Arabidopsis thaliana: one gene and its partners. The protein of the gene in region 2 binds, or shares a complex with, the protein of the main gene of each other region. Each region holds a gene or a part of one and is shown on either strand. Other genes may lie near its edges.

Evidence for each region.
Region 1: AT5G27650 (region 2) and FVE share a complex: the UniProt entries of both Arabidopsis thaliana proteins name them as parts of the PRC2 (polycomb repressive complex 2) complex.
Region 3: AT5G27650 (region 2) and AT3G09670 share a complex: the UniProt entries of both Arabidopsis thaliana proteins name them as parts of the PRC2 (polycomb repressive complex 2) complex.
Region 4: AT5G27650 (region 2) and AT5G02950 share a complex: the UniProt entries of both Arabidopsis thaliana proteins name them as parts of the PRC2 (polycomb repressive complex 2) complex.

Annotation. Positions count from the first base shown.
Region 1 is NC_003071.7:8,453,905-8,460,185, reverse strand, and holds FVE (Transducin family protein / WD-40 repeat family protein), read right to left. Parts: upstream 4,431-6,281; 5' UTR 4,181-4,430; coding exon 3,897-4,180; intron 3,542-3,896; coding exon 3,478-3,541; intron 3,385-3,477; coding exon 3,298-3,384; intron 3,189-3,297; coding exon 3,126-3,188; intron 2,953-3,125; coding exon 2,887-2,952; intron 2,743-2,886; coding exon 2,668-2,742; intron 2,531-2,667; coding exon 2,455-2,530; intron 2,382-2,454; coding exon 2,186-2,381; intron 2,076-2,185; coding exon 1,994-2,075; intron 1,914-1,993; coding exon 1,840-1,913; intron 1,766-1,839; coding exon 1,654-1,765; intron 1,569-1,653; coding exon 1,494-1,568; intron 1,390-1,493; coding exon 1,322-1,389; intron 1,238-1,321; coding exon 1,138-1,237; intron 1,053-1,137; coding exon 951-1,052; 3' UTR 544-950; downstream 1-543. UniProt on the Arabidopsis thaliana protein: Core histone-binding subunit that may target chromatin assembly factors, chromatin remodeling factors and histone deacetylases to their histone substrates in a manner that is regulated by nucleosomal DNA.
Region 2 is NC_003076.8:9,783,768-9,789,875, reverse strand, and holds AT5G27650 (Tudor/PWWP/MBT superfamily protein), read right to left. Parts: upstream 4,470-6,108; 5' UTR 4,366-4,469; coding exon 3,216-4,365; intron 2,851-3,215; coding exon 782-2,850; 3' UTR 522-781; downstream 1-521. Other genes in the region: TIF3B1 (translation initiation factor 3B1), read left to right, coding at 5,117-5,226, 5,477-5,714, 5,812-6,036. UniProt on the Arabidopsis thaliana protein: Together with PDP2, PDP3 and PDP6, interacts with MSI4/FVE and MSI5 to suppress FLC, MAF4 and MAF5 expression by regulating the function of the PRC2 complex and modulating H3K27me3 level, thereby promoting flowering.
Region 3 is NC_003074.8:2,964,520-2,969,575, forward strand, and holds AT3G09670 (Tudor/PWWP/MBT superfamily protein), read left to right. Parts: upstream 1-1,681; 5' UTR 1,682-1,994; exon of another isoform or gene 1,995-2,001; intron 2,002-2,096; 5' UTR 2,097-2,117; coding exon 2,118-4,298; 3' UTR 4,299-4,539; downstream 4,540-5,056. Other genes in the region: MCM8 (minichromosome maintenance 8), read right to left, coding at 282-445, 540-762, 849-966, 1,040-1,183, 1,450-1,647; AT3G09680 (Ribosomal protein S12/S23 family protein), read right to left, coding at 4,678-4,818, 4,901-5,027. UniProt on the Arabidopsis thaliana protein: Together with PDP1, PDP3 and PDP6, interacts with MSI4/FVE and MSI5 to suppress FLC, MAF4 and MAF5 expression by regulating the function of the PRC2 complex and modulating H3K27me3 level, thereby promoting flowering.
Region 4 is NC_003076.8:689,153-693,627, forward strand, and holds AT5G02950 (Tudor/PWWP/MBT superfamily protein), read left to right. Parts: upstream 1-1,532; 5' UTR 1,533-1,656; exon of another isoform or gene 1,657-1,779; 5' UTR 1,780-1,800; coding exon 1,801-3,699; 3' UTR 3,700-3,947; downstream 3,948-4,475. Other genes in the region: AT5G02940 (ion channel POLLUX-like protein, putative (DUF1012)), read right to left, coding at 437-522; AT5G02960 (Ribosomal protein S12/S23 family protein), read right to left, coding at 4,128-4,268, 4,357-4,475. UniProt on the Arabidopsis thaliana protein: May influence gene expression by regulating the function of the PRC2 complex and modulating H3K27me3 level.

The DNA of each region.
Region 1 (6,281 bases), on a different chromosome or scaffold from region 2:
GTTTCTCGAGCAATTTAAGTATCGTCGGAAAAAGAAAAGAAAATGTAGGTCTAAAAACCCTAATTTTATGAAATACTCCGATTCGTCTACTTGTGATTGATTAGCTTCCCTACCTTATTCCTCAAGCAATACATTGATTCATGTTTCTCTCTTTAGTATCTTTTGGAACAAAAACTTCTTCGTTTGATCTTCTCTGACTGATCTTGACGGTCTCATGTAGGCTTTGTGATTGGATTTTTAAAGTCTCTAGCTCATCAAGAGACTTCATAAAGCCTATTAAGCGGGAGGACCATTAACGTTAAGCCCAATAAAGTAAAACATTATCATATAGTTTAGTTTTATGAAATGACCAGGTGATCTATGTATGATTTGCAATGGTCTGATTGTTTAGTGACTGTTAATACTTAAAATTTCTTCAAAATCCTACGAATAAATCTGTGAATTGAAAATCACCTAATCCTACTGCTAAGCGTGATTAACAGTTTTTTTCTAATGAAAACGACAATGCAAACATTATTTAAGATGCGACGAATCATCAAGAACCCAGTTTCCAAATTTTGCGATGCTTATTACTATATTGTTTTATAATGACCCCTTCTGCTTTGCATTTGAACATCAATGCAACTATTTTTTTTGTAGCCGGGTTGGTCTCGACTAGTTACAGAGAAGGAATCATTAGGTTCAGGCCAAGTATTGAAACCTTAAACCAAAACACATAAAGTTGGTCCGATTTGATTAACATCTCAGTTGAACAAAACAGCACCTAAGAGTCTGATGAAACAGGATCATGAACCAGAACCATGTACCCCTAACTGATATGGAAAGGTCCTAAAAGCTACCACCAATATCTCAAAAGACAAACCAGCCTTACAAAAACCAAGACTCCTCGCTAAAACCCGCATTAGTTTACCATAGGCGATAGATAGATAGACAATGGGTTTTCTTTACTCTTAAGGCTTGGAGGCACAAGTCATAACATGCGACTTGAACTTCTCCAATTCTGCCACGACTTCTTCTTCTGGTCTGTAAATCAAGTCACTCATCCGCCATATCTGCCATAGAAGAAAGTATAAACAACATTTAACGGTATGTCAATAAAATTGCTTATCAAGGTACCAAGAAAGATTTCAAGGTTACCTGCAATGTTCCACCTCCACCAGTAGTCTCACAGTCATCAGAAACACTGACAATAGTCCAAGGGTCTGAAGCATTCCAGTGGAAATCAACAACTTTGTCCCTAATATGGTTTATAAACAAGGGAACTTAGAAGCAAGTAAAATGAGAAAGCAATCAAGAAAAATCAAGATAAGTCTTTAAGAACCTGTGACCAGCATGCTGGAAGAAGAGCCCAGCGGGGCTTTTAGCTGCACGATCAGACTTCTTACTGACCTGATGGTTAATTAAACAAACCAAACATGAGTACAATGAATATGTTTCAGTGATGATAGTGAAGAAAGATTAATTTTAGACATCTGAGTGAACTATGTACACACCCTGTCATAATCCCAGATGTTCAAGAGACCATCTTCTGCAGAGCTCCCAAAGACGGATGACTTATCAGGAGACCACTGAATTGAATAACAAGATAGTGTCAGTGGGTTAAGAGATATACTTCATACAAAGAAGGAAAAAAAAAAAAAAAGTTGATTATACCTGAACACAAAGAACAGCAGCTTTGTGTCCCTCAAATTTGTAAATAGGCGAACCAACTCCATTAGCGGTAAGCTTCCTACGATCAAACAACCGGACAGTGTTGTCTGCTGACCTGAAATATTCATCAATTTCTTAATTAGATACTAAGTATGTATTAATCATCTATTTGTATGTATTTCTCCATACCCTGTCAGGATCAGATTGTCGTCATGAGGATTCCAATCAACACAATGAAGATCAGCATCATGCGCTTTTTCAACCTGGAAAACAAAAAAGTAAGATATAATATCAAAAGGAGGTAAATCTTCAAACTTTTGATAGGATTCAAAAGATAGAGTACCTTCGTGACAGGGTTTGTGCCAGTTCTCGCATCCCATAGTATAAGGCAAGAATCATCACCAACACTGCAGAATTCTTGTGCACTTCACGGTATAAAAGTTCACCAGAAGTATTATTAGAAAATCATGAAAATATCTGCAGTATGCATAAACAAACACGATATCAATAGAAGGAGTCTGTTCTAAGAAGTTACCTCGTCGGGCTGAATGCCACATCTTCAACTGTATCTTCATGGCCATGATATACACCTCGTGGGCCAACAGTAGGACTCTCATTCTTATCAGTACCTTCACCAGTCTGTTTGATGATAGATCCAGATGATTTGGAATCTGTCCCAATCGTTGTGATGTGATCTTGGATACTCCACAAAACAACTGACTTGTCCTTGCCTAAGAGAAGAACTTTTGTATGAGAAACTGGCAAACCACAGGATTGGACTCTACAAATTACAGAAACACAAACCTCCGGAGAGCACAAAGGGTTCCGTTGGGCACATGGCAAGAGCAAATTCAGCATTATCTTGGTGCCCAGTTAGTATCTGCATGAAAAATGGTTCATTCAGATGATGCAAACAAGAAGCACTATTTAAGAAGATATCAAAGAGATTTATCACTTCCAATGATGAGAAACAAACAAGAATAAAGCATAAAACAACATTCTCAGAAGTGGACATACCAAATCTGGACGGGAATTTGCAGCTCCAAGCACAGCATGACGGTTTGGTTGGGTTTCAACATCCCAAATGAGAACCTGAAATCAACATATTGTATTTAGATAACTCTGAAACTGGACATATGTCCGAACAAAGGATGCTCTTTGACTGCCAAATACAGAAATATGAAACCGACATATTTCAAGTTGCTATGACCATAACAAAATAGAAGCAGCACTCACATCAGGACTGTCGGTGTGAGTAGCAACAATCTTACTATTCTGTGGGAGTTCCCTGATTCTGTTAACCTGCAATTGCAAATTAGTAATGAATACACATCAAAATTTACTTTCACCAACGTGCCAAACGAATAACTTCATGGACAGATGAAACAGGGATGCAGATACAATTAACAAACCAAATAGAACTAAAAAGAACAATGTCAATACAGAAATATCTCAAGAGTGGGCAGAATTCACACCTCTCCAGGGTGAATGATGGTCTTGTACTTCTTCACAAATGGAGAACGTGCTTCTTCATTGAACTGAGAACACATTTTCAGAAGATAGTATATAAGTGTCAAACATGAAACCAATTGTAGTGTGGAGTAGGATATGGAAAGGACACAAGCTTAGTATTAAACCACATAATACCTGAGAAATGTGCTCTGCTGCAGCAACCCTTGGCTTAACAACTTCACAATTTGCTATGACCAAAGTATTGGGCACACTTCCATCAGTCTGGTGACACAACCAAGAAAAATACAAATAATACGATGAGAAGTATATAAAGAAGATGAGACAACAAGATACAAGAGAAAGCTAAAAACTTACTTGCTCTGAGAGGTACAGACGCTGGCGATTCTTGTAGGTTGCTTGCTCAAGCTGCGGACCCCATCTATAAAAAAATCAAACAACAATTCACCAAATGGAAACTCTTAGCACAACAACTAAAGACTTCATCAGATATAAACACTCAGAGAAACTGAAAATTCCTCTTAGTCATTAGTAACCAACAAGGTAATCAATAGTAACAATTCATGAATAGAACATCAGATATATCAAGGTATGAAGACAGAGCCACATCCAAAACCCTAACTAGAACAATCGCAACAATCTCACTTAAACCCAGAAATCGAGAAAATGTATGTGTAAGATTTTACTAAATTCATTCCAAACATGAGAATGTTCAAAGCTAAGAAACGATTACGAAACGAAACCCTAGAAGGAGAGGAAAGGAGAAAGGGGGAGACCTGCAAGAGAGTGAAGGCCAGACGAGGTTATGGTTAGCGAGCCAGTCGTAGAGAATGGGGACGAGACCTTTCCACTGAGAGTACTTCTCGTCAACACTCGGCGACTGCTGCGTTTTCTTCCCACTTTCTTTCATTTTAACATCGCTCTGTTGCTGAGACGACGGCGTCTGAGAATCTTCCTTGGTTTTAGGTTTCCGACCTCTCTTCTTCGGCCCAGAAGCTCCGGTTCCTCCGCTCGGTGTCGTTGCTTGAGGAGACACTGCTGCTGCTTCGTCGCTCTCCATTTTCCTCTCTCTCTTTTTAATTTTTCTTTTTTGGTCTTTGCTTTCAGTGTCTCTATATCTCTCTCTCTTCTGCTTTACAAATACAAACAAAACAACCACCGTTTACCATTTTTACTTTGGACATAATACCTGAATCCGAAAAAACCGATCTGAACCCGATCCAAAAATCCCAATCCAAAAATCCCAATCTAAATTCGAACCTGAAATTTTCAAATATCCGACTGAATCTAAACTTCAAAACCTGAAAAACCCGAACCCGAACTGGTACCCAAACATATCTTAAATATAAATATAACTAAAATATTTATATTTATATTTACATATAGACAATATTATGATTTTTCGGATATTTTAGTTACTTTTATGTATTTTTAAATATATTCAAGCAAAACTACTCGGGTTGTTTAGGGAATTTTTGAAATTTTCAAATAATTTAATAGATTCGGACACAAAATTTTGATATTTCAATATATAACTAAACCCGAAACCGAACCAAACCCGACCCGGAATCTTGAATTACTCGAACGGATCTTAAAATTCTAAACCCGAAAAACTCAAACCCAAAATACCCGACCGAATATCCAAACACCCATAATTATTATTTTTTAATTCAGTAAAATAAATACTTTATTGAATAATAATAAAAATTACGGATGAAATAATTAACAGTATAAATTAATTAATATAAGCGTCTCTTACATGGATTACTAACTTTATAATTCATATCCAAACTTGTTGTTCTTTCTTGTAGCTTCTTCTGAAAAAAAAAAAAAGAATAGATCCTCGTTGCATTTTGAAAAGTGATTTAAGAAGATTTCAATGTTTGTTTAATACTTGAACAATAAAGTCCAATATTGTTCAGAAGTATATGACTAAGCTTAGACTTGAACCCTAAGTTTGTTCTTGGTGTCTAAACTTAAAACATTCATTTCATTTGTTCTCTGCTGGCTAAACCTATAAAATTTACCTTTCATTTTATCTTCTTTATTTAAAACATAAAATTGTACTATTTCATATCCCTCTTTGTTCTATGTGAAAAGCTCAATTTTCACTCATGGATTCGACACCAAATAACTTTCTTTGGGACATTGAAAGCCTTAAAATATCTCGAGGTTATGATTTACATGTAGTTGTTCCAAGCTTGAGGCTTTTTCTCAATCCAGCATGGATTAATCTGATGAATATGGTAAATCCGAAAAAAACCTAAACGTCTGTTCGCTCTATTTAATATCTTAATTTTTTTTATTATGATTATAGTTTAGAACTTAAAAGTTATGTATAATCATGTCATTTTAAAATTTCGCTTCAAATCTCTATAATTCTTGGCATTGCACTTCTTATATCACTAGTTTTGACTATTAAGAAACGTTTTGTGCATAAAAATTCAGATTTTTTATGATCAACAAATTAAATAGTGTTAGAAATTTTGTTGTGATTATGAATTTTTTAAAATTCTAACACAATTTATTTGGTAGAGGTGCAAAATAGGTATTAAACAAAAATTTTAGATCTGCACAACATATATGTATACAAATATGTATATGAACTATGCAAATAAAAGAAAAAAAAAACTATTACTAAGATTACTAGGGAAAAATATTGACTCAAATCATCTAATTTATGTTTCTCATCTTACTAATATTAATGTTGATAGTATAGTGGTGTTTCATATATTCTCTAATTGCATATTACATATACATATTTGTATATTTACACCTATTTTCCTATTAACTTAATAAATAAATATTATTTTTTTTGGGACGAAATAAATTGTATTATTATCGTCATAAAACTGATAGGTACAATGAAATTAGTAACGCTAATGAATTTGTCGTCCAAAAATTAAAGATTTGAATTTTTTATACACAAAGTTTTTCGTGGTAGTTAGAGACATGTGATACAAGCATTTAAGATATTATGCATGTAAGGCAAACATGATTTTTAATCAAATGTCAAATATCATGAGTCAAAGATATACTAAACGAAACATAATATCTAGCTTTTTACAAAGCAATTTTCCAAAGGCAACTAAACCCTAATTCTATATTGGAATGTTATTTTACTTAGAACAAGAAACGAGAAGTTCTCGTATTTTTAAAAT
Region 2 (6,108 bases):
TTTGTAATGGAAACTTCACGATATTCAACCAAATGTGTTGAAATAGGATTTTAGCTTCATTTGAATTTCTTTATTTTGGTTTCATTTTTGGTCTCATGGTTCCTTTCTCGACCACTTTATAACGGAACTAAAAAGTGAGACGTAGCAAATTATATTCATTTAAAATTAATGTTCGTTTTTTGCGAATAAAGTAATACCAACAGGCAGGCTTTCCACCAAATCTAACCTTGTCCAGTTGGTTGTGTACTGGTTTAGGCCTCTACACTTCAGGACAAGAGTTCGACTCGTATTTGGTACCAAGTCGTGCCATCTCTTTCTCTCTCTCTCTTTCGCCTTCACAATCCAATATCCATGTCGATGTTGTTGTATTGAACTTAAAGAGAGGTAATAAAAATTACCTTTTTTTTGAATAAGATCAAAATTTTATATTTTTTTTACTGTAATCACAATTTCTTCCTATAGCTTTAATTTTCAACTTTGCTCAGCCATTTTGGGCAGGCCTAAATTTACACCAAGTAGATTAAGACCAAATGAGAATATATAACGTAACACAACAATGGAATTGGTTCCGCATAGTGCATCAAATATCAAAAGCATACAACTTCAAAAAATAATACACGAAATATAAAACAAGCCTGGGAGAGGGAGAGGGAGAGAGATTCATCATTATAAATTGTAATACATGATTTAAAGTTAACGAACCAAACTAATACCTAACATACAATATTATCACCAAAAACCAAACAAACACTCACATTTTCTCTCAACGGGCTTCGTTTTGTTACAAGGGATGATAAGGGACGTAGCCCAATAAGCCCGTGACGTTAGCCACTACTTCGTTGCATTTTGACAAAAGGTTGAGCATCTGGTGAGAGATGTCCCCAGCGCTAACCGCTGGGATCGGGCCACGGAAGTTTCTTGAAGGTGGCATTGGTGGTTCGACGTGGTCTACTGGTTTAATGGGAAGTTGTTGTGGTTTTGTGTATTGTGGAGGGAGAGGAAGAATTGGAGGCAATGTAGAAGGAGGAAGCTGTTGATGATGAACAACGTTTTGAAACTTCTTACTAACAAATTCCATTGGAACAGATGATGATGATGAAGAAGGTCCACTGTTTCTATTCAAGGTCATTGTGACCTGTGGTGGCTCGGTGTTTGCTTTACTCGAGTTTTCTTCACCACCTAACATGAATTTGACTCTTACGGCTGCGCGGTTACCGTTTCCATTGTTGCTACTACTGCTCGGGTCATCAACTGGTTTCTTCAAACAGGATTTGAGGTTGACGTTTGGTGGCGGTAATGTTGGTTGGTGAAGCGGTGGTGCTTGGTCCAACCACTGGCTCTGTGGTTCATCATCTTCCTTGGTGTTTTCTGGCTCACGAGGCTCGGCTTTAGGAGCATCCACATCACGGAGAAAGTACTTTACATTCACGTTTCCAAATAGAGTGTTGTTTCCTGTTGCATATCGAAAAGCAGTCTGGGCATCGGCTTTGTACAGAAAGACAACACGGCAGGTCGATGATTTCCAGAAAACCCTAATGGCGGATTGATCTAACAGCCCGAAGCGACCAAACCTCGCCTTTAGCAATGCGGCTGAAGGGAGAGATGTGCCAGGTGGGAATTTCATGACCAGCATTGTTGGCTCAACCACCTTAACTGATGGAGCTGTTTTCTTCCCGGTTTGACCTCTGGCTGGTTTTGCTTGTACCACCCTGCTTGGCTCTCTTATTGGTTTTATACTATCCTTTGCTTCTCGAATGATCTTCTTTTCAGAAGCCATTGATTTCAACTGATTAGTTTTCTTCAGCTTCTTAGCTGATGGGATTTCATCTTGACGATCAGAAGAGAGCCGTTTTTTTCCAGCTTTTGATGGGTCTTCGGTTCTCTTCACTGTCTTGACAGGTTTTGAGGGTTTTGTGTCTCTGGCATTTTCGACAGTAGCATCAGAGGAAGATACAGACAAGCTTTTCTGGTAATTAAGTGAACGGAAACGGAGAAAAAATTTCCTAGCAGTTCCAAAAGAAGCAACGGATAAACCGTGGAAAGGGTCAAGAGAGAGATCTTGCAGATGGCTCAACAGCTGCGGCACATCGGCTTCCATATAGGTTTGTAAATGCGCTGAACCAAGCTGGGACAATTTCTTGGCCCCAGCTTCCCCAGAATACAAATTTTTTCTCTTCACTGGATGGTCAGAATCAGGCTCTTTCTTCTTTTTCTTTTTCTTTTTTGGCTCTGAAGGAGGATTCTCCGAGCTCATTTCACTTGAAGATCGTTTAGCAACTTTGACTTTCTTGATTACAGACCCTGTGGAACTTTTCCCCTCAGATGCTGAGGTATGAGACTCAAGCAGAGGCTGGAGAGAACTTCCAGCTGATCCAAGATCTGTTCCAGCTTCTTCTTTAGGTTTAAGACTCGCCATAGCTTCAGATTTCCCATGCTCTGGAAGTACAGCAGCTCTTTCTTCCATTCTCTCCTTTGATTTTTCAGCTAGACCCTTTTCTTCATCAAGAGAGGGCTTTGAAGCTGAAAATTCTTTACCAGGAATAGCTGTATTTGAAGAGGCAAAATCCATGCTGACGATCCCAGACTTCTCATCTTTCATTGGAGTTTGAAGCGTCGGAGCTCTTCTCTGCAGCCCAAAATCCCCATCCAAAGATCCATCAATTCCCTGGATATGAGAAGCTTCTGAACTTGCTTCAATTTCGCCAAACTGAACAGACTTATCACCAGCTTCATCCCTTCGTTTGAGAAGATACTTGTCTTTTTTTTTAGAGACCTTAACCTTTGTGGGTTTTTTAGAGCTCTTAAGGTCACCTAGCGTTTCTGCTATGACCAGTGGGCCACTCAAGGGAGCTGGAAATAAGAGAAATTGAAACAACACATCACCCACCAAGAAAATGAACAATAAAGCAAACAAGGTAAATGTATGCGGGACTCTCCATAGTAGAAAGAGGCGCAGAATTGTTATCAGGCCACGTTTTCGAATGCACAGTTTAGCATCAATGAGACTTCACTATTCTTTCAAGCATGCTATGTAAAGAATTCAACTACAAAGATATAAATCCTAAAATCATGAGCACAGAGGATCTAAAAGTAAAACCCTAAAACCAAGTTACAGTATCTAATATCTATGTAACACATATGAAAGCTGTTTCAAGTCTACAACGAAAAAACCCATATACAAACAATAACATGATTTTCTGAAAAGTGGCTAATACCTCGAGGCGGTGCTCTATTATGAGGTTCCAGCGTACTCACTGAACTGCGGGGTGATTTTGTCCCAAAGGCCTGTGCATAAGTTTCATCAAACTCCTCAAACACTGACTTGCGGAAAGCAAAAACCACTGCTTTCTTCTTCATAAACTTTAAACTGTCTGGATCACACTCTTGAGGTGCTAACGCCAATTGCTTCACAAACGAAATGGTTTCAGCGGGTAAAAACTTATCCCTAGAATTCTTAATCTGATCAACAGAGTAAACGGCTTGAAGCTCGTAATCAGGCACATCAACAGCAAAGTAATCTTCCACATTACTAGGCCTAAAGTTATAAGGATTCCGACATTTACAAGTCAAACCAAGAGCTGACCTTCTACTCGCCTCATCCTTGGCTTCCTCCACAGCTCTCACAAAATGCTTCGAAACCGTCTGCTGTGATTTCTCCTCTAAATTCGGTTCGAAAGGAATAAGCTCAGCAGGATCAAACCAACCATAACTACTATCACCGAAAAACGCAACAAGAACATGATCAATCCTCCTCATACGACGAACAGAAGGAGACGCAAAAGCTTCATTGAATATATGACCAGGCCACCAAGGATGAGACTTTACCTTTCCCCAAACCAAATCTCCAACTTCAAACCCATAACTCAATGCCCTCGAAACTCCAGAACCCATTTTCTCACTTGCAACATAATCATCAAACTCAGATAAAAGAGATTTATAATCCGAAACTCCTTTTTTCTCTTCCTTCAAACCCAAATCTAATTCCTTCTCATCAGCTTCAGAACCAAGCTCACTAGATTGATCATCAGAGCCATCTTCTTCTTCTTCTTCTTCTTTAACCTCAGAACTCTCATCATCCTTATCAATTAAAACATCCTCGCTTTTAATCTCATCTTCCTCCTCACTCCCTACGACACCATCTTTCTCCGATCTCTCACTTTCGAGAACCCTAGCGTCATTTGTAACCGCCGAATCTAGCTCCATAGGTGAAGAAGCTTCAACATCATCATCAATGGCTTCGTGAACATCCCCGCTCGAATCAACTACAGTATCATCTGGAGTTACCTTAGGATCCTGAATCGAATCCGTTTGTTGAACAATCACAGCATCCTCGTTCATCACCGGGATTAATTTAGTTTTGTACATTACAAATCGATAAGAACCCTAGCAACAACAACAACGATCCTCCGATGAGAGATTATCCGAATTTGGTTCTCGAGGACACCAAATGAAAGAGACGGATTATTGTTAAAAAAAAAAAAAAGCTAATCGAGAGAAAGACAATAAATTAGATCTACTGATTACTATTGAATTGGGCTTACCCGGCCCATATAAATATTTATAAGCCCGTTTAAGGAACCGACGTCGTATGATCCAAAAAGACCTGAAAACAATCGCTCCTTCTTCCTCACCTTCAAGCGCCGTCTTCTTCTTTGTTTTTTGCTCTCGGCTGATCTCTGTATTGGGTACGTTTCTTATCTCGATTTCAGTGTTCATTTGTTTTTTTTGTCTTTTCTTATGTAGCTATGAGACAGGATCCAGAACGATGCAATAGATATAAGAGAGCCTTCAGGAAAATTTTGCCATTTTTCTCCATTTCACCTGTTGTTGGGTTCTAGATTAAATAAAACTAGAGTATAGTTAATAATTTCTATAGGCATGGTTTTAGATTTACATTATAGTGGGAGTGATGATTCAAAGTTTTAGTCTTTGAACATTTGGCCATGGTAGTTTGTTGTTTTAATACTTGTTTAGGGTTAACAAAAAACCTACTTTTAGATCTAAAGACTCAGATTTTTCACATTTATTTATCGACTTAAAGTTGGAATGTGTTAAAGACTGATAGCTCTCTCTATATGGCTTTCTTTGGCAGATTTTTGATATAAGGTTTGAAATCATGGAGGTCGTTGATATTGATGCCCGAGCTGCTAAGTTAGGGATTGATTGGTCTCAGGTTAATTTTGATTCCATCCAACTTCCTCCTGGAGAAGACTTTGGGATCGAGAGGTGAGATTTTCCTTTAGATCTCTGGTTGTTCATATACGGTCACTTCTATTTCTAATCTTCTTGTGTTTATACGATGGGATGATTTTATTCTAGGTTTTGCTATTGTATGTATGAAAATTTTGTGTATTTCGAATTGGTTTATCTCTTTCCTTGATGGTGCAAAGCTTATTATATTTATACATTTTATCTATGAACGTATGAAAAATGGAACTGATTCGTTATACACTTTTTTTTTCTGTGATGGTTGTAGTGATGATGAAGCTGTTTACCAGGATGACCAGTCTGAATTCGACACTGGATTCGGTAACATTATCGTGGTCGATCACCTCCCTGTTGTTCCCAAGGAGAAGTTTGAGAAACTTGAAGGTGTTGTCAAGAAAATTTACAACCAGTTAGGTGTGATTAAGGAAAATGGACTGTGGATGCCTGTTGATCCCGATACCAAGATGACATTGGGCTACTGTTTTATTGAGTTCAACACTCCTCAGGTTATTTATCTACTTGATTAGCTTAATCTCTGTTTTGTTGGATTCTGAAGCAATAATGTCGGCGTCATATGTTTCAATACTTTATTTCTCTTGTTAGAAAGGAGCCCAAACTAGGTTGTTCTTAATGGTTGAGTATTTCCTAAGAGTTTCTCTCAATGTCTGGGGCTCTTTGCAGGAAGCACAAAACGCTAAGGAAAAGTCTCATGGCTACAAGTTGGACAAGTCTCACATCTTTGCTGTAAACATGTTCGATGATTTTGACAGGTTGATGAATGTGAAGGAGGAGTGGGAGCCTCCTCAGGCCAGGCCCTACGTCCCTGGGGTATGTGTAGTTTTCATCATGTTACTCCCTGTACCTTGAATAATTTTCTTTGAATAACTTCCATTGTGTCTG
Region 3 (5,056 bases), on a different chromosome or scaffold from region 2:
TAAATGTTTGTTAAGCTTGAGTATGGCTTAATACCAGTAATGAGGCTTCTAGCTCCTTGATCTTTGGTAAAATGTCAATATGAGTAAAACAAACAACTTAGCAGTGCTCTATTTTACTTTCCTGCAATGAGATTCCCAAAAACCATGGAAGAGAACTTTAAGAGACAAATTTCCAGCTATTCTACGGGTAAGGATAGCAGGCGTTTGGGCATGTTAATGTTTGCAAATTATGGACACAACAAGGATGGAGAGAACTCCATGAAAAGTTATAAAATCAATACCTCCCCCAATGTCCATGTAATTATTAATTACTCCTATAATCCCTGTAACTGTCACCACATCACCAGGGATACATATGTCCACAAGGTCTTCCATCAGCTCACATTCTACAGTTCTGGGTACCCGTCCTTCTTCGTGGTCTTCAGGCTTTTGCAATTCCTGTACCCTAAAATGCATTTGGACAGCTGGTTAACAATGGTCAGATACATAACTAACAAGGATGAAGTACACAAAATGATGAGACGCAAATAGGAGAACACCTGATTTTCTGAAAATCAATTGTCTGAGCAGAGGACCGGATTGGAGTAAACGTTTTGGACTTGCATCCATGGGAATCACATTTTAGTGGAGGAGAAAACTTTCCATCAGTAAATTCCCGGGTTATGCCAGTTTTGCACTTTCCACAGTCAAAAGCCATCTGTGTGACAAGGGGTTTCACAGTACTAACTTTAACAACAGTCCCATGAACGGTTACAAGCTTTCCTGCAATTTCAAAAGCACACACTCATGCTATGTCTCACTTAAGGTTTTACATCTTATTATTTATTTCGCTAGATGAGACAGTCTACCAATATAAGCTGCTCTCAGGTTTTTCAGGGAGATAGAAGATTCAGGATAATTATGCAGACGAACATTGATCTTCATAACATTCTCAAACTCATTAGTCTCCCATTGATCAAAAAGAACCTGTGAGAGATGACATAAGTCTTCATCTTATGCCAACCAAGAAAACAAACCCCAATGAAAAGTAATAGCATACCTTGTGAACAGCAGCATTCATACATGGGATAACTCCTTTAGGATTATCCTCTAGATTTATGAAAAAGTTCTCGATATCAGATATTTTCTTGAATTGTTGGAGATCAAGAGACAAAGAGAAGGAACCACCACCGTCTTCATTCACCTGGCTCAAGCCATGGAATAAACTTATAAACTGTTTCTCCTATTTTTAGATACTAAGAAGAACTAATTGACGCATAGAGAAGTTGATTAATCGTTTTCTATCTACCCTAATTCTTCATAGAAGTAGAGTGGAAACGAAATCTAGCTAAATAGATTACAATTTCATAACCGGAATTTAATTTCGAAATCAAGCTATACCAAGCTTTATAAAATTCAGATTTATAAACTTTTTACCAGAAATTTGATGATGGCCAAGTGAGGATGTACCTGAGAAACTATGTCTCTACCAGGTGATGCGGAGAATACGCGGATGAGCTCCGCCGTGAGCTGCAACTTATCCTCGTCGATGGCCAAATTCTCGTTGTCCTTGATGTATACAGCTAATATTTTCCCGATGCCGAGAGAATCAATTCCTGTTGATTCAGGGCGACCCGATGCCATGCTTCCACCACCGTAAAATCCCATCACCGCTTAACCCACTGTAACTCGCTCGTCGTCAGTCGCAGAGAAAAATCTCGCTTAGGCCAATGGGTTTTGGCGGGAAAAAGGTAAAGGGCTTTTTGTGATGGGTTTTTGGTAAGTGGGCCAAATGATTGAACCCTAAAACCCAAAGATAACCAAAAGAAAGGATAAAATCAATTAATAAAGCTTTAGTTGTCCGCCACGTGGACTGAACCGCACAAAAATTCACAACAACAAAAAAAAAACGAGAAACCCGTTTCTGGTTCGATTTGACGTCTTCGTTTACTTCATTTCTATAAACGAGCTCCCGCCGCCGGAAAATTCGCTGTTCATCACCACCGTGACCAGAGGTTTGTTGTGAGCACCTTCTCTATCTTTCTTTCTTCACCTGTAGGTTCTGTTATATGTTTTGTTGGGAAATGAACTGAAGAAAATTTCTGATGATTTTCTAGGGTTTTGTTTTGGTACTGCTTATGTCGACGGAATCAGAACGTATTGAATCAGTCTCAGAGGCTAATGCGTCGAGTTTAGAGGTCGGAAATGATCAAATGTCTGAAGCCCTAGCTGGTCAAGCTCAGGAGCTGAAAACAATTGGAGATGATAAAGAAGGATGCGGCAACTTTGCTTCAGCTGGTGATAATGGGATGGAGAAAGTAAATGGATTTACTAATCTTGTTAAGGAAACGGAATCTGTAAATGGAGAGTTAGATCTAGGCACTAGAACCGAAAATGTAGGTGGAGAGAGTAACCAAAGTGACAAGAAGGTTCTAGTAGATAGCGAAGAGGTCATGATGGTAGAGAAAAGGGGGCTTCTTGTTGAGAAGGAAGTGGAACCTGACATGGTCTGTTCTCATGGCGCTGATCTCAGTGATGTGAAGGTTTCTGATGGCAGACTGGATAGTGAAGACCTTGTTCAGGATAGAAAACCCGATGGCTTAGAAAAGCAAGGAACAAAAGTTGAGGACTTGGATGTTGTATGTTTTATGGGTTTAGAACCGCATGAGAGCAAGGATGAGAGTATTTTGGATGATGAAATTGCCCATGTAGCTGCGAAGGTGAAGATCTCTGACTCAGATTTGGTTTGGGCTAAAGTAAGGAGCCATCCGTGGTGGCCTGGACAGGTGTTTGATGCCTCGGCTGCAACAGACAAGGCGAAGAAGCATTTCAAGAAAGGAAGTTTCTTAGTAACTTATTTTGGAGATTGCACCTTTGCTTGGAATGAGGCGTCACGGATTAAGCCTTTTCGACAGCATTTCTCCCAAATGGCAAAGCAGAGTAGTCTACCTGATTTTATTGATGCTATTGATTTTGCGTTAGAAGAGGTATCAAGAAGGATAGAGTTTGGTTTAGCTTGTTCTTGTATCTCAGAGGAAGTCTATCAGAAGATCAAGACTCAGAATGTAATCAATCCTGGAATCCGAGAAGATTCAAGCTCAATACACGGTGGAGACAAGGTCTCAAGTGCAGTCTTCTTTGAACCTGCAAACCTTGTGGGATATGTGAAGCGTTTAGCATGCTCTCCTAGCTATGATGCTACTGATGCGCTGCAGCTTGTAAGTCAGAGAGCACAGTTATTAGCTTTTAATCGCTGGAAAGGCTATACTGACCTCCCCGAGTTTATGACACTCCAGGGGTCAGTAGAGTCTGCACCCAAGATTTCTCCTGCAGAAGAGCAAAGTAGCTTAGTGGAAGTTTCTGATCCTGAACCAACAAAGAGTAAACAAGTTTATACTAAAAGAAGAAAGACAAACCTGCAAACAGAGCAAAGTAGCTTAGTTGAAGTTTCTGATCCTGATAAAGGTGACTGTAAACACGATGGAGTGTTTGAATATGAAGAAACTATTGTTCCAAAGAAAAAGGAGAAAACTTTGGCAGAGTTCATTGCTGAGAAACGCGTAAGCAGACATAATGGGAACACATCACATGAAAAGTCTGGTAATGTTCCGCATTGCGAAAAGAAACGCAAGGTTGTGCAGTCAAAAGTTCCCAAGTCCACGAAAAAGATTAAGGCAAACCTGCAAACAGAGGATCCAGGATCTCCAGTTTCTCCCAAAAATGATCGAAAAAATAATTTGTCTGCTGGTGATAAGATTACACCACAGAAAGCTAGAAAAAGTTTCGGAATTGGGGCAAGCATATTGAAAGTGGCAAACCAGATGCATTGTTCAACACCAACCAGACTCTTACCTTGCAGTGATTCGACCTCCAAAAAGGCAGCCAAGAGCAATGGCAGTGGAAAGAGTCTTCAGGAGAAACCTAAAGCCGAAGCATTATCAGCAAGAGAAATTTCTCCTTCAACTACACTTTCAAGCCCTCACGCTGCTTCTGTTACCAAAACCACAAGTGGGAAATCCAATTCTGTCAGCCTAGACCACAACCTATCCGGAGAACTTGATCAGGTCAGAAAGGAAGCTCCTAGTACTAACCTTGTGGAGGACCCGATGTTGGAGTCTAGAGACTTGAAAGACTCTTCTAAGGAGCAGGTCGTACATGAGGATAAGAAAGAAGCTGCAAATGTAGCGGATGAGAAATCTATTATGGACAGCAATCTAACCGGGGAGAAAATCAGTGGCTTGGACTTGAGAGAGCAGCCGAGTAACAAGAACTGCTCTGGTGGATCTGATAGTTGCAAGGAAGATGTTTCTGCAGAGTAGGAAGGCTCAGCATCAGCGTCTAACCCACTAATACAGATCTTTCTAAAATCGAGTCCGGTTCTTGTTAGTACCCAAGAGTGGAATATACCTTTTAGATGGATTCTCTTCTCTTTCAAAGTTTAGAATTGTATGATTTAATCAGAGTTGAACAAACACTAGTGAGAGAATGTAACAAAGTTATTTTTGTTTTTCCAGATTTGTGCAATTTAATGGTCAATAATTCATTTGAATCCAAAACTAATTATGAATTTGAATAAATAAATTAGAATCCAAACAAAATTAACCTCAACTCGGAGGAAAATAGAATAAGAGATGTCACTGAATAAGTACATAGACATGCCTTCAAATATCAAAAAAAATTCATAAAATGTAGTAGAGCTCAAGACCTAGGCTTCTCCTTCTTTTCCTTGAAAAGGGCCAAGAGTGAGACACCAGAGACCTTCACCACTTTGAACCTAACTCCGGGAATATCTCCGACGGCATGACCTTTACGCCCAAATCCAGCAATCAACACCTCGTCCTACACACAGTATCAATGAATGAGTAATTGGTAAGAATATAATTTGATTACTCATTCAAAAGTAGATGTCAATCTAACTTACATTTTCTTCAATGTAGTTCAAACAACCATCATTGGGGACAAAGGCAGCAATCTTTTTACCATTCTTGATCAACTGAACTCTAGCACACTTACGGATAGCAGAGTTAGGCTGCTTAGCCTCAATACCACTGCATAATCAAACACAGAGTCTCATCAA
Region 4 (4,475 bases), 9.1 Mb from region 2:
TTGGCTACATTTACTGTAAGCAAAACATGAAGTAAAATTCACCGGAAGAAGAAACAACAAAAATAAACTGTGATATATGCCCAAGCAAGTTTTGAAGATAAGGACGAAGAAGACGCTGACGGAACTAGAGGGTTCGGATTATAAAGAAAAGAAGAGAAGACACAGAAATAAACAGAGGCATTGGCATTTCTTTTAGAATATAGAATTTGTTGAGAGGAGTTACTTAGTATTGATCGCTTAAATGATAAATACCGTGTTCTTTAAGTATCTGTATCAGTTGTTTGGAAATAAAGAGCTTGTTTCTAACAAAAACACTCAAAATCTTCTGAGGATCACAAACTTCACAATCATCATCTTATCACTTATGGATAAAGTCACCACCATGCAATTGTTTTCAGAAATATCAAGTATAAGAAAGAAATTACAAAAACAAAACCTGTGAAAAGAAGCTAATCGATCTCTTGTCAAAGCTTGAGAAGGTAGAATCAATGGCTTCCAGGTAAACAACTGAACAGCCACCATCTTTCTTAATCTTCTCCTTGATTTATCTTACGCTCTTTTTGTTTCTCTCCTTATATATGTGGGTGGAGTATGGACACAAGGCTGGTTTTTTAGATTTTTGCGTGATTATTTTGTTGTTGTTATATTGTTTTGGACCATATTAGTTAGCCCGTGGGGTGTTATGAACATAAAAACAAATCGACTAATTTTTTTTTTGGCTTAGAACTTCATTTGAATAGGTAAACAACGCAGAGGAATCGCGTCCATAGAATAGAATATAATAAAAACAAAATGGTACTCTTATCGCTTTGAATTTTAACTACTTTCTCTTATTCCACTCACTATTCACGTTTTTATATACATACATACATATAAGAGTACATGTGCTAATAGCTGTCCAAACAAAAAAAAGAGTACATGTGCTAATAAACGACTATTTTTTAGTACTTTTGTTTCAATCGTTAAAATCTCATCCACAATTTTGAATCTCGAACGTTACTGGCTCCCAAAATATCCTCTCAATGTTGAGACGCCACATGACATAACAATAAAAATGACAAAGACATAACAAGAAAATGGATTTTGCATTTTTTGACCATTGAGAGAGCTAAGCACTTTACACAATAAACGGTGTTATTGTGTTTATATATGAATTGATATATTATTTTGTTAGTCTATGAGGAGTATTTAAAAATATCCCCAAAAGAGGTTTTTCAAAATATCACTTTTTAGTAAAACATACTATTAAACAAGTTTAGAAAACTTATAAAAAAGTGTCTTAATGTTGTAGGAAAACATTTGGTTCTCATTAAACATAAAATTAACAAATTTAATTCTTTAGAAATAAACTAGTTGTAGTAAAATTCTAATCTACTTGTAGTAAAATTCTATTCTATTTAATATCAGTAAAAACAAGTCAAATTCAAGTTCAAATAAAGAGGGAAAAGCAAAAGTTTGAAAATTTTGAACCTCACTCAATGTAATAATGTATGGTTGTGATGAGTCGAGACAAAATCAAGTACTGCCACGTGGAATAATTCGTGACGTACACGTAGCTCTCTCATAAACCCCCTCAAAACGAAAGAAACTCTGTTATTTCTTCATTACCCAAAATCTAAGCTTTCGTCGCCGGCGAAACCGTAACCGCCACCGGAGGTTCTGTCCACCTTTTTTGCTCTCCGATTATTTTCTTCGTCTCTCGTATGATGTACTGTTTTTGCTTTAATGGAAGCATATACTGAAGCAATTTCTGCTTTTTTTTGTTTCTTCGTTGTCTAGGGATTTTTGTTGGTGCTCGTTATGTCTACGGAACCAGAAGGAGTCGAATCTGACTCCAACGCTGATTTTGCCATAAATGCGTCGAGTTTTGACTACGGTATGGCTCACACATCTGAAACCCTAGCTGATCCCATGAGCTTTCAAGCTCAGGACTTGGTAGTGAACCTCACTGGAGTTGAGCGAAAAGTATTTGTCTCTGCTCGTGATGATAAGGATAGTCTCTGTAACGGGGTTGATTTTGATGCTGATTCAGATCTGCTTAAGAACAAGGATAAGAAAGGATTTTCTAAAGAGAATCTGAAGCTTTTTGACTCAGATTTGGTTTGGGCTAAACTAAGAAGTTATCCATGGTGGCCTGGACTGGTCTTTGATAAATCTGTTGCCTCTAAAGCTGCGATGAGGCACTTCAAGAAAGGAAATGTCTTGGTTGCGTATTTTGGGGATTGTACATTTGCTTGGAATAATGCATCTCAGATAAAGCCTTTTCATCAGAATTTCTCTCAAATGCAGGAGCAGAGTAACTCCGCTGAGTTTCGTGATGCTATTGATTGTGCTTTGGATGAGGTTTCAAGGAGAGTAGAGTTTGGTTTATCTTGCTCTTGTGTTTCAGAGGAAGCCTATAACAAACTCAAGACTCAGAACATAATCAATGCTGGAATTCGTGAGGACTCAAGTGTTAGATACGGTGGAGACAAGTTATCGGATGGAATCTCTTTTGAACCTGCTAAACTTGTGGATTATATGAAGCATTTAGCTTGCTTTCCTTGCTATGATGCGACTGAGAAGCTGCAATTTGTGATTAACCGAGCTCAGGTATTGGCTTTTCAACAATGGAAAGACTATTCTCACTTCATTGACTATGAAACATTTGTAAGGTCGGTGGAATCTGCTGCGACCCTGGCTTCTCTCCCAGAAGTAAATATGGATGAAGGAATATCTGCCAAAAAGAGAAAGACAGATTATAAAGATAATGCTGAACAGACAAAGGAGAAGACTTTGTCAGATTTGACTGTAAAGAAACGCTGTGGGAGCAGATCAACTGAGAAATTGGATGGTAAGTCGCATTCTGAAAAGAAGCGTAAGGTTGAGTCTTCGGAATCTGGTAAGTCTGAGAAAAGGATCAAGAAAAGTCAGCAAAAGGAGGATTCAGTGTCTAAACACTCTAATGAGGAAAGTCTTTTGTCAGTGGGTGATACTAATAAACTGCAGAAGACGGCTGAACCGTGTCATGGAACTGGAGTGGAAAATGAGATGAATTCTTTAACTCCTACACTTAAGCCTTGCCGTGCTTCTAAATCTACGGAAGTTGAGAATGAGAAGACTAAGAAGCCGAGACATCAAGAGCTTGCTGAAAGAAAGATTTCTTCTCCTGATGAGATGCTCTCAAGCCTTCACGCTGCCAATACCTCAACGGGAATACCTGATTCAATCAACATAGACCCCTCGAATTATGAAGATTTTGAAAAGTTCATTAATGAACTGTTTTGCAGTAAACTCAATGGTGACTCAAAGAAGGCAAGTATCACTGAGACATCAGAACCTTGTGATAAGAAAGACTCTGCAGAAGAAGAGATATTACCTGCAAATAAAGAAATCACTGGCTCAGGCTCGAAAGAGCAAATTGGTCTCAAGGACTGTTCTGCAGATTCATTACCACCCTATGCTTTAGTCCTCAACTTTGCGGATTCAGGTTCGGTTCCATCTGAAGAAAAGCTGAACGAGATATTTAAACGTTACGGTCCTCTCCATGAGTCTAAGACTAAGGTCACGATGAAGGGTAAGAGAGCCAAAGTTGTGTTCAAAAGAGGGGAAGACGCAAAGACTGCCTTTAGCAGCGCAGGGAAATACAGCATCTTTGGACCTTCTCTTCTAAGTTACAGACTCGAGTATGTTTGCCCCAAACGGAAAAAAACAACATGACTGATTGAGTCACGGCATCTCTTAACTTTCAGAGATTAGGGTCTGATCAGATATCATCAGCTAGGTCTTATGATGAGAGTAGATTTTCGATAAATAAACGTAACCTAGGATTTATGATGAGAGTAGGTTTTCGATAAATAAAAGTAACATTCGTGTGATGAGACTAATTCTTAACTTTATGACATACAAAACCAAAACTGGAAATACCAATGATAACAGTAAAGTTAGTCGCAACTGAAGATGAGGCTTATAAGTTAAAAGAGTAAATTGATTAAACACCAATAACATTAAACGATCATGTCTTAATTCAAAAACTCATAAAATGTAACACAAAATCAAGTTCTTGAAACATAAAGTAGAACAGAACAAGACTTAAACTGAACTATCAAAAACCATATCAAAAGCTTGAAGCTTTTTGTACGGGTTGCTTAAGATCTTGGCTTCTCCTTCTTTTCCTTGAAGAGGGCCAAGAGTGAAACACCAGAAACCTTCACGACCTTGAACCTAACTCCGGGAATATCTCCCACAGCGTGACCCTTACGACCAAATCCAGCAATCAAGACCTCATCCTGCAACACCATAAACAAGAAATGTATCAGCATATGAATGAAACTAATCCATAGTGTGATGATTGAATAGTCATTTCATGTGACTTACGTTTTCCTCGATGTAGTTCAAACAACCATCATTGGGGACAAAGGCAGCAATCTTCTTTCCATTCTTGATAAGCTGAACTCTAGCACACTTACGGATAGCAGAGTTAGGCTGCTTAGCCT